Schizosaccharomyces pombe: one gene and its partners. The main gene of each other region encodes a partner of the protein of the gene in region 3 in a complex. Each region holds a gene or a part of one and is shown on either strand. Other genes may lie near its edges. The genes, in order: rrp42, csl4 and rrp43.

Region 1 (3,758 bases), 900 kb from region 3:
AAAGGTTCATGATTGGGAAGAATGTAATGACGACGTTGCCCTACAATATGCTCGTGAAGGGATTGAGTCCTCATCTAAGTTAATCCAGGACCTTGTATCTACGGTTCCTATTTTGTTGTTTTACGGCGAAAATGACTTTCTTTGTAATTATTTATCTGGCGAAAAATTAACCCGATCACTGGAGTGGAATGGTGCTGTTGGTTTTCAAAATCAATCTGCTCAACCATTTTATCTTCCGGGCTATTCTGATCAACCATCGGGCTCCTATGTTAGTTCCCGGAACCTGACCTTTGCTCGCATAGTTGAAGCTAGTCACATGGTTCCATACGATCATCCTAATGAAATGAAGACCTTGATTACTGCTTTCTTTAATAATGACTTTGCCAGCTTACCATCGGTACCTAAACCCTCTCCGGATTTAGGTAATGGAAACTACAAATGGCTTTATTTGGGTTTGATTCCTGTTGCTTTAACTATCATTATTTTATTCTCAATTTATTTGTGCAGGAGATTTGGATTATTTGGTCTTAGCAAACAACGCTACCAACCTATATCTCCAACTCCTTAGACTGTATATAAATCTTTTCTGTCGGTTTTTACTTTCACATACAGATTTTCTGCTCTTTATTTTAATCATTTAACTTTTAATCTTGCTTTATCGGTGGTAGAATTTATTTTTTTATCTTGGAACGTTCTTCCCTGGTTTTAAAAAATCTGCGATTATCACCATAAATTTTATCTCTCATCTTTAATCAAATTTCACTTATGGATACATTCTTTGAATTTTTATTTTTGCACATAGTCTCTAAATGATCTCAAATCATGAATATGAAATATCATGTACCAAACATTGTCTTATAGCTATTGTTTGTTCTACAGTTTTTGTAGTTTTTTTATAGGACAGATTAGCGTCAAACGCTAATCTCAATAACGTGTTTGCAATAGTACAGTATATCATGGAGAACTACGTCTTGTAACATGTGTCACAAATGTATAAATACTAGTGAGATCTGTCTGTTTATATTGACAATCCGTTACATCCCTTAATAATCGATTATTATAAATAATTTATAATCGAATCACGTTCCTAAATTCAGTTAGAAGCTATAGCAATGGGAGGATTCTATCACATCTACGCATGAGAACAAAGGAGAACTGCAAGCTAATAACAGATCTACTGTAATCATATTTGACAATCCAAAATCGACGCACGTTATCAGGGACACAATTGATGCGTTTGGTAAATTTTACAGACAGCCTTAACTAAATAGGTCTAGGCAACGAGTGAACTAGCTCTATATCAAAGAAGAAATTGGATAGTTTTATTTCGATGACAACGTCTTTAAATCCATGATCCAATAGGCCCAACTTGCTTGTGGATGGATACTTACAGATGGCACGCTATCGAACAGAACACCAGATATGATCTTATTGCTACTCGGCCAAATTGCATCAAAGTGGTAAATAATATTTCAGCGTAGGTTTTGCATCCAAAATTTTGAAGGAATAGGTTATAATGAAGCACCAACTGCCCAAGCATTTTCAACTGATGTAAACTTGCGAAATTTTTAGAGAATGCGCCTTTTCTGCTGTGTCAATAAACAAGTCTTAGCTAATAAAAAAACATGTCGCAGTAGTACTGACAACGCTATAATTTACTACGTTGTGTATCACATTTGGAACATGTTCTATTTAAACATAGCCTCGTAGATGATAGATATTGGGGCAAATCATTTGATATCTGAAACAAATATTTAGTTTATATGTTCAACAATTTAAATAGGAAACTAAATTTCGTTCCTCACTTTAGTCAGAAGCTAATAACAGAAATAGATCATAAATAATACCTACATATACCAATATTTTCAATGACTCATAGCCGTTATACCTATGTATTATAATATAACAGATCACATGTAAAACTTATCGCGGTTTTGCATATCGTTAAACAGATACAAAACTGCGTAGCATACATAACGAACTTTAGAATATACGCAAGAACTCAACGCAATATTGCAAGGAAAATTATTCTTAAACGATATACCATTAGCCAACATATGCAATTGTCATTACCAGAACTATCGTACACACACAAATCAATAACAGAATTTGAGCCTGCAATTCGGAATGATGGACGTTCGATAGACCAGCTTCGTCCGCTTTCTGGACAAGTAGATGTTCTGCCTGGTACAAATGGTTCTGCTAGAGTTAAATGGGCGTCTTCGGTGGAGATAGTCATAGGTGTAAAAGCAGAAGTGGGTGATGCTACTCCCGAAGGTGGTAAATATGTCGCTTCAGTTGAAATGTACGTGAGATATTTGGAGTTCGTATTAACATTGTTTGGCGTAACAAACAATATGAATCAATTGAAAAAAGCTGGTATGCTAACACTTTTTATGTAGTTCTCCATCTGTTTCAATCCAGAATCGTGAAACCGATGAAATTCCTTCATTCCTTACAAGTGCCCTTCAGGATTTATTAAACGCACTTGCTGTCGACTATTTGAAATTTACACCATCTAAAGCTTGGATTATTCACGTAGATGCTGTTGTAATACTTTCTTCGTCTCCTTACGAAAACATTCTTTCAGCTTTAAGTCTTGCTGCTTATTTAGCATTACAGACTACACGTTTACCTAAAATTTCTACCCCCAATGTCACAGACATCACTATTGGATCTACTAAATATGAGCCTTCCGAAGAATACGATGTTGATTCAGAATGGGAAAATGCATTACCTTTGCAAGGGTTAGAATTAATGTCAGTCATAATTTTGGTTAGTAGCATTGATCAAGTGATAATTGTTGATCCTACAATTGAGGAATCAAGTGTCGCTCAAGTGACATATGCGATTGGTGTTCAAGCTAGTGGTGCTATTAGCTATACCAGGGTCGTGGGTACTGGAGGAGGCTACGCATCCACTGGACGTGCAATAACTGTAGAGCGATATATAGAATTGTTAGAGACTGCGTCTACCGTTGGTACTAAGCTTTTGAACGCCAGCAGCGATATTCTATCTTTTAAGGGTTTAGGATTTTTTGATATTCTTCCATAAATGAATTGGGTTGGGTTGGTCTCCATTTCCTATATAATAGCATCTTTCTCTCTATATATATATATAAATGCAATACTTGGGTTACGGAATCAGGATCAATTTTGTTACATGAAGAGGCATGCATCGGTATTTTTGGTTACTATGGTTGGTCATTGTATTTCGTTTAGGTCAAAGTCATATAGCAAGTATAGTAGATGGGAATAATTTAAGGGAAATGAAATGGTAACGTCTATAAAAATAATAAAGCCTATGCGGCCACTTCTTGGCTTGTTTGGTCAACGTGATCCAACATTTTTTGGATCTTAGAAACAAGTTGCTTCCGTTCAAAACGCAATTTCTCGCTGCCCAGTACGTCAACTCCATCCAATTTTAAAAGCTGTTGTAAAAGTAGTTCACTTATCATTAGTTTCTGTTTGTTTTTCTGCTTTGGATCGTTCGACGGTTTATTTACGTAATTGTCGTACATGGGGGAAAGTTCTTTGTCAACATACTGATCGATGGCTTTTATTTCTCCAGAAATACGCGAAAATACAGGATTCTCCGCTTCCGCTTTCGGAGCGGGCTCAACCGTGTCTTTTTCCTTGGAACCTCGTTGTTGCTTATGTGGTCTTATACATAGAATTTTACTATGATTTTTTAAACCCAATTTTGATAACGAGGCTTTTTTGTCTTTTAAACGCTTGCCAGCGTAAAAAAGCTTGACT
Region 2 (3,677 bases), on a different chromosome or scaffold from region 3:
TATTCCATACGTTCTTTGCTGAATAAAGAGCGAAGACCGTCCCCTTTATATTCGAGCCGTCATTAATTTTTCATTCAAAAACTAAGATAGTAAGGCACATCGATAACAATCTAAAGTTGTGAAAAAATTCTTATAAAACGGAATTCTTAAATACTTATTTCTTCCAAATTATTTAAGCAAACCTTCAAAAGAAGAATTATCCTTCAATGATTTAAACTCAACAACTATCAAATGAAGTAATTCAAGAATATAACTGTAGTCAAATATATACATCTATATTCCCCACGTCCATAAGATTTGTATATTTGTTTACAACGGGTATTTTTAGTTAGAAGAACGGTTGCTTGTAATGATGAGGAAGGATTCGTGAGCCGGATATAGCTGGAATAATGTTCAATACCTTTTCCTTTAATAGATCTATTTTACAAAATAAATTTCGTTGATTAATAAAACAAAAGATCATTTAAAAATCGTGCGCTTCACAAATTACTTTAATTTTCTTTTGACACAAGATTGTGTTCCTTTCCAAACTAAAAATATAATTGGGTTACTTCTTATATTGATAGCAAAGTTAGCTTCAAAATTTTAAGACAAAAAGGTGTTTTCAATTTGATTAGTTTATTAAAATTCTTGATTTTTTTGTTTTTGCTGTATGTTTTATAAAAAGTATCATGTCACTTGAAATACATGCTGTAAGACTACCTACTTTTGTTTAGCACTACCATACTGTAATACAACTAATACTTAAATCACTTTATCATGAGTCTTGCTGATTTTATGGAACGTAAGTGTCAAATTTTCAATAGAGAATGAAGTGACTAATATAGATGTTCGTTAGAAAGGGTTCAAGTCATTACAAACGATGGTCGCGTTGTGCTAGGTTCCCTGAAGGGATTCGATCACACGACCAATCTTATACTTTCAGACTCATTTGAAAGAATTATTAGCATGGATCAAGACATGGAAACAATTCCTTTAGGCGTTTATTTATTACGTGGAGAAAATGTGTAAGTGGACGCAGAGCCTTGTACTGGCGGTACGTAAATCAATAATCTAATAGTTATTTTTAGAGCAATGGTTGGATTAGTGAATGAGGAATTAGATTCAGAAATAGAATGGACCAAAATTCGAGGTGAAGCAATACCTGACGTTGTGCATTAATACAAAAACCGGACGTTAAACTTCAAATGAGAACAAACGTTTAAGGCTACATAGGATTTGGGTTAATGATTTTTTTGTTATATTTCCTCTTTGTGCGGGCGAATCCTTTGCAAATTTTGTTAAGCTTTCCACGATATATTCATACCTTGCAGCATGTCTTTTATCAGGAAGCTATTAGCTCGTAGAAAGAAGTGAAAATTCTTTCTTTATTTTTTTAAAAAAATATGACTGAGGTTGTAGATTAATTCTGATGACAAAGAGTTGACACTTGAACGAAAATACTTAAAAAAATGGTTTAAAATACCGAGTTCGAGGACATCGGTTCTTTCAGAATTTAAAAAATTCTTGGTTTCTTGTTAAATTTGTGGATCACAAACTCATTTTTCTTCTTATTTTGTGGGTTTCATCTTTCTTAAATGATTCTTGGGAACGTTAACATACCTTTGTTTCCTTAATTTGATTTATGCACTTTGATTTTGAAATTTGTGGTCAACTTGTTTAAAGACTTTATATTTATCATTGATTTTTGTTATTATATGGAAAAAAACATCACAATTTATATCATTTACTGTGCATAACATTCTTCATTTTTGCTGTCACGCTTAATGTTTACACTGGAAAATTTCTCTACCTTGAGAAATATTTCAGCATCATGGTCCAATTTACAAAGATCATTTGAGTTAAACAAAAAAAATGATTTATTATATTTGCTGCTCATATTTTTTTTTTAGTGATTTTTTATTTTGGCATCGTTTTGTGAACTTACTTTCCAAGCTTTGGGATTATCAAGAAAAAATTTTTGTTGAAAGAAGAGCAGAAAAACTGTTTGATAATTAAATGCCTTTGCAATTTCATTTTCTCAATTTAGCAAAATAAACTGAAATTTCTGCAGCAGTGACTTTAGGTTACATTGTAACCTACAGTTTACAACGACCTTTGTGCTTACAGCAACTTTTTTTCAATTAATTTTTTACAGCCATACAAAACGGACTTGATTCCTTTATTTTTAGTTTATTAAAGCCGTTAAATATGAATTTGGTTCTCCCTGGACAGGTGGTCGCGAGAGGGGCTCCTAACGGTGAAGGAACGGTAAAGAGAGGAGATTATATTATTTCCACACGAACTGGCATCTTTGATCCAGAGAAAAATTCTGTAACGTACCCAAGAAAAGTTGAAGAGACAGCCGTTTTACCTAATGTCGGATCTATTGTTTTAGCTCGCGTCAGCAGGATCAATGCTCGTCAAGCAACTGTAAACATCTCAGTCGTTGACGATGTCTGCACCAAAGATGAATTTCAAGGGGTAATACATGTGCAGGATATTAGAGCTACTGAGAAAAATAAAGTCAAAGTGCAAAATTCATTCCGACCGGGTGATATTGTCAGAGCACTTGTAATTTCACTTGGAGACGGCTCTTCGTACTTTTTAACAACAGCTCGAAATGATCTTGGTGTGATTTTTGCTCAGTCTAGTGAAACAGGAGAGCAAATGTTTCCGGTGGATTATCAGCATATGCAAACAAAATCAGGATATACGGAAATGCGTAAATGTGCTAAACCTATATTAGACGAATAAAATGAGGGGATAAAATTGCTTTGTTTTGATATAACCTGATAGTTTTTTTTCCCTCTCGGTTCGTTCTTTCCTAACAAAAAAAAAATTCTGAAATTGTTAGAGATTTTATGATACGAATATACGGAACACGGATAAAAATAATATTGAATATAGAAATATTGGAAGTTCATTAGAATGATGATTGAGGTGACTTGCTGTCGAAACCGATATCATTTTCAATTAGAAGTCAAATGTATAGTTTTATAAGATATAGAGAACCTTTGTAATTCAACTGAACGGACAGGAGCTCTGAAGTTTCTTAAAGTTATTTACTTAATGGAACTGAATTGGTCGGTTGTTTATAAACTCTAATTCATTAACAAAAACATGAATAAGGAGTTTCTAGCAATAATATGTGTTATGTTTACAACTTTCTAAGAAGGTTACTGTATTAAGTTATTTTGTGTAATTTAATATCGAGGATTGCACCTTTCATTGGAGGCTGTGATATCCTGAAATAACATTTATGATCACAGATTTAAGGATGAAGTATTTAATGACATGAAAATTAGTATTCGTACACCTCTCAGTAACTTTTCAAAACTACTTTCAGTTTTTACATTAAGGGATTGGATGTACTTTTTATACACAGTTTTATAAAATACTAGGTTGTCTCTAAACATCAAGTATCATCTCAATCTTTACTTTCGGCCATTAGACTGATATATTTTATATCAATTAATTAGTAGACAACTGTTTCCAGATTCTCATATAAGCACGAGAGCTTCTATTCTACCCGTCTTTTCCGTATATAGCTGTCATGACTCATTAAGCTACTCCAGCGTGAGACTATCAAATTTAATCTCTTCATCCCTAATATTTGTTTGTAAATACTTATAATTGCAAAATATTCCATTACCATGACATCAAATAGAGGATTCTAAATCCAATTCGCAGGTACA
Region 3 (3,740 bases):
CCATCCGGCAACTGTTCGTTCTTCGCTTCTCTATGACTTTTTTACTATTTCCGTAGTATTTGTTATCACTTAATCTCCACATTTTTTCTACATCGGACTTCAAGTTACAGTACCACGTGCCGCCCTTATTTTAAACGAACACACCATCAGCTTTGCATAGACTGTTAAATAGCTTATACAATTTAGTAAAACTGTGTAACTTAGATATATTGGAAAACAGTATCATAACAGTAAAGATTTAACCTCAGCAAATACTTGCCACTTCCAGTTTAAAGTGTAGGATGAACTTGTAAGCATGATAAAGTTGAAACAATATTCTTGTTGCGTAGAACCTTTTTCCTAGATCAACGCAAAAACAAAATAACTTAAAAAAAAAGAAAAGAAATTCGGATGCAGAAAAACTATATGTGCAAATACGGCGGGAGTTACACAAATAATTAAACATATACATCAGCCAAAAGATGTTTACTGGAACATTAATTGTTGAGACTTACGCAGATTGACCTGTTCACAGATGCGTGTTTTTTTTCAAAATACTCATACTTATTAAATTTCCCACCAATTTCTTAATCCTCAAATTCTATCGAGATTTCTGGGTTAGAGTGTGAAACTTTTTCAATATCAATACTAGGTTGTAACGACATCTCTTTGAATAATGATTGACAAGCTCTTGTACCATTGCCCAATGCAAGAACGTCTGCTTTTTGCGACGAGGAAAACGAACCGTTTGTGACTCGAGCAAGTCCGTAAAGAATCTTCCAATCCATAGGCTTTACACGTGATTGCATGCTTTTGCTTCCCTGTTCTTGTCGAAAAGTATCAACCGAATCAAAAAGGCGTTCCAATTTTATCTGTAACCTTTCAACCAAGTATCGGAGGCCATCCGGATTAGGCAGTTCCTCAGAAGAAGCCATTCTACCCAACTTGTGTAATTTTTTTGATGCTAAACGCACAGCCAAATATGCAGCCTCTTGGCGAAACCTCGAAGCCGAGGTTCCATCAAAAAATGATTCATCGGGGATGGAATGAATTGTAGGCCATACTGCACGTAGACGTGGTGGAATCCTTCGTTCATAACCGTCCAAATCGCTTTGCAATTCATTTCGACGAGTTATACCAGCTTTATAACTGCAATAAAGTTGAATACACAAATTTTTCATCTCAGATCTTCTCAGTTCGGAAACAATTTCTCGATACTCTATTAGCTGTGCGTATAGAGCATCTTGCTTTCGCATTTCTTTTTCATCCGAAGTATCCTGAGAAGAGGAAATATCCTCTTGACTTCCTTGCTGCTCTAATTCTTCCTCAGAATCATTCATAGCATCATTTCCTCAGAAGGTTTAGCATCCGGCTGTTGTGTTCGTAGGCTAGAGGTTAAGGAAAGGTCATTGTACCTGGCGCGATATTAAGTGTGTTTACTGACTTTTTTTTTTAATTTCCTTTAACTATAATCTAATAGAAAAAAACTTTTCCTTTTTTTTATTAATATAAGACTTTTGCTTCGTCTAACAACCGATAAACTAAGAGTGTGCAAATTTTGAAATATAAACATGCACCCAAATAACTTACTTTAATTTAAGAGCTATATATTATGCTACTTACCAAATTCCGTATGTATTCTGCTGACTTTTAATTGTTTAATTATGCCTTATTTTCTTTAACCATGGATCATTGTAAATTTTGTTATTTTACCTTTTTTTAAAAAAAAAAAAATCAGTAGAAAAGGCCTTAAATAAATTTTTTTCGAATTAGCATTTTTAAATGTTAATTATGTGATCTCTTTTTTCAAAATCGTTTAAACGAATTGGGATTTTGTAGCTAAAATTCAAATGAATTATCAATCCTTAATTGAAATTTGCACCGAATATACCTTCAATAAATTAAAAAAAAACCAAGGAATTTAAACATTTTAAGGACCTCACAAACCTTTTATTTACCATATAAGTTTTTCATACTTTACTTCGTACACCTATTTCATCCCTCTACTCCATTTCATAATTTCAACCTGTAGACAAAATTCAGCACATATATCGAATTCTTGTGATTCATATTCATTTTATATATTTTTCAGTATCGTTCTTCAGTTATTTGGTCTTTCTACGTTACTATATCATTTAGCTTCGTTATTGAAACACTACATTCTTTTCACATCATGAAAACTGTTTCGGGGGTAAAACAGCTTTCATTTACACCTTCGTAAGTTGCTCTTTGATTTCTTATTCTATCTTTTTTAGTGCTCTGTTTCCTTTTCACTTTGTTTTTCTTTGTTACAGTACTAACATTTTACTGGATAGAATTTTTAAGAAAATCACGCCTGAGCAGTATTTATCACATCTTCTTAATCAGGATGTTCGATCAGATGGGCGGTCTGTATCAGAATTCAGAGAAATTGTAATTAATGATAATTGCATATCTACTGCTAATGGTAGTGCTATCATTCGAGCTGGCGAAAATGTCTTTGTGTGTGGAATAAAAGCAGAAATTGCTGAACCTTTTGAAAACTCTCCCAATGAAGGTTGGATTGTTCCCAATCTTGAATTATCACCTCTTTGCAGTAGCAAATTTAAACCTGGCCCTCCTTCTGACTTGGCGCAAGTTGTCTCGCAGGAATTGCATCAGACTTTGCAACAGTATGTATCAAATTATTGGAATTTTTCTAATTTTCTACCATACGTTTCATTTATTGTTAAACTATCATTTAGAATATTTAGTTACTTTTACTAACAACTTATACAGATCTAACTTGATTAATTTACAGTCCCTATGCATTTTTGAAAAAAAAGCAGCCTGGGTATTGTATGCTGATATTATTTGTTTAAATTATGATGGAAGTGCCTTCGATTATGCATGGGCAGCTTTGTTTGCCGCTTTAAAAACTGTTAAATTACCAACTGCTGTTTGGGATGAAGATTTAGAGAGGGTTATCTGTGCTTCTACCCTTACAAGACCAGTTCAATTAAGTACTGAAGTTCGTTCTTTCTCATGGTCAGTATTTGACGACAAGTTGTTAGCCGACCCTACAGACGAGGAGGAGGACCTTTCAACTGAATTTTTGACAATTATGCTTAATAGCTCCAAAAATATTGTTAAGATAATAAAGCTTGGAGGCACTCACATTCAACCCCTTTTATTAAAAAAGTGTATTGAGGTTGCAAGGTCTAAGTTCTAACAAATTTTTGGGTTATCAAGGTGTATAAATTTTGAAAGTTTGAAAATATTCAAGTTCGTTTTTAATGCTTGAAACGTAATATTGATCTTGCTGTAATATAAAATACTATAGTCATAAAGCTAATTGATTTTCAAATGCTGTAGGAAATTTTTTTTATATAACTTATGAACCCTGTTTATCTCCTTTAACCAGTAAACTTTTTTTTGTCAAACTCTAAAACACAAGCATAGGAAGAATGATCAACTCAATACCCGATTTATTTACCAAAATCACGTTGAATCTTTTCTTTGCTGCCTTCACCAACATATCCTTTGGCGATGCCACTCTGTCCTTCGTATAATTTACTAGGACCTTCTCCTTCATCTACACTGTCAAGTCCCGACCAAGATTTTGACTGAAGAAACGCCGCTGCTGGAGAGTAAACCCCGTTCACTGCAAGACTTCTCATGCCACGCTTTTCTATAGAGGCTGAGGACGAGTCATTATTCTTTGCATCGGCAGTCTCAAGAGTAACGTCTAAATGTCGCATCGGGGTTGAATTCACAAACTTTCCAGTAATCAGACTAAAGTG

What was found.
Region 1: rrp43 (region 3) and rrp42 share a complex: the UniProt entries of both Schizosaccharomyces pombe proteins name them as parts of the RNA exosome complex.
Region 2: rrp43 (region 3) and csl4 share a complex: the UniProt entries of both Schizosaccharomyces pombe proteins name them as parts of the RNA exosome complex.

The regions. Positions count from the first base shown.
Region 1 is NC_003423.3:4,229,896-4,233,653, forward strand, and holds the start of rrp42 (exosome subunit Rrp42), read left to right. Parts: upstream 1-2,045; 5' UTR 2,046-2,057; coding exon 2,058-2,305; exon of another isoform or gene 2,306-2,371; intron 2,372-2,402; coding exon 2,403-3,054; 3' UTR 3,055-3,301; coding exon of another isoform or gene 3,302-3,758. Other genes in the region: kex1 (serine carboxypeptidase), read left to right, coding at 1-568; BAG family molecular chaperone regulator Bag101, read right to left, coding at 3,302-3,758. UniProt on the Schizosaccharomyces pombe protein: Non-catalytic component of the RNA exosome complex which has 3'->5' exoribonuclease activity and participates in a multitude of cellular RNA processing and degradation events.
Region 2 is NC_003421.2:2,277,143-2,280,819, forward strand, and holds csl4 (exosome subunit Csl4), read left to right. Parts: upstream 1-2,125; 5' UTR 2,126-2,190; coding exon 2,191-2,736; 3' UTR 2,737-3,144; downstream 3,145-3,677. Other genes in the region: U6 snRNP-associated protein Lsm8, read left to right, coding at 760-784, 839-1,007, 1,071-1,161. UniProt on the Schizosaccharomyces pombe protein: Non-catalytic component of the RNA exosome complex which has 3'->5' exoribonuclease activity and participates in a multitude of cellular RNA processing and degradation events.
Region 3 is NC_003423.3:3,331,182-3,334,921, reverse strand, and holds rrp43 (exosome subunit Rrp43), read left to right. Parts: upstream 1-1,976; 5' UTR 1,977-2,152; coding exon 2,153-2,196; exon of another isoform or gene 2,197-2,294; coding exon 2,295-2,630; intron 2,631-2,736; coding exon 2,737-3,169; 3' UTR 3,170-3,240; downstream 3,241-3,740. Other genes in the region: RNA polymerase I upstream activation factor complex subunit Acr1, read right to left, coding at 567-1,319; dph2 (diphthamide biosynthesis protein), read right to left, coding at 3,426-3,740. UniProt on the Schizosaccharomyces pombe protein: Non-catalytic component of the RNA exosome complex which has 3'->5' exoribonuclease activity and participates in a multitude of cellular RNA processing and degradation events.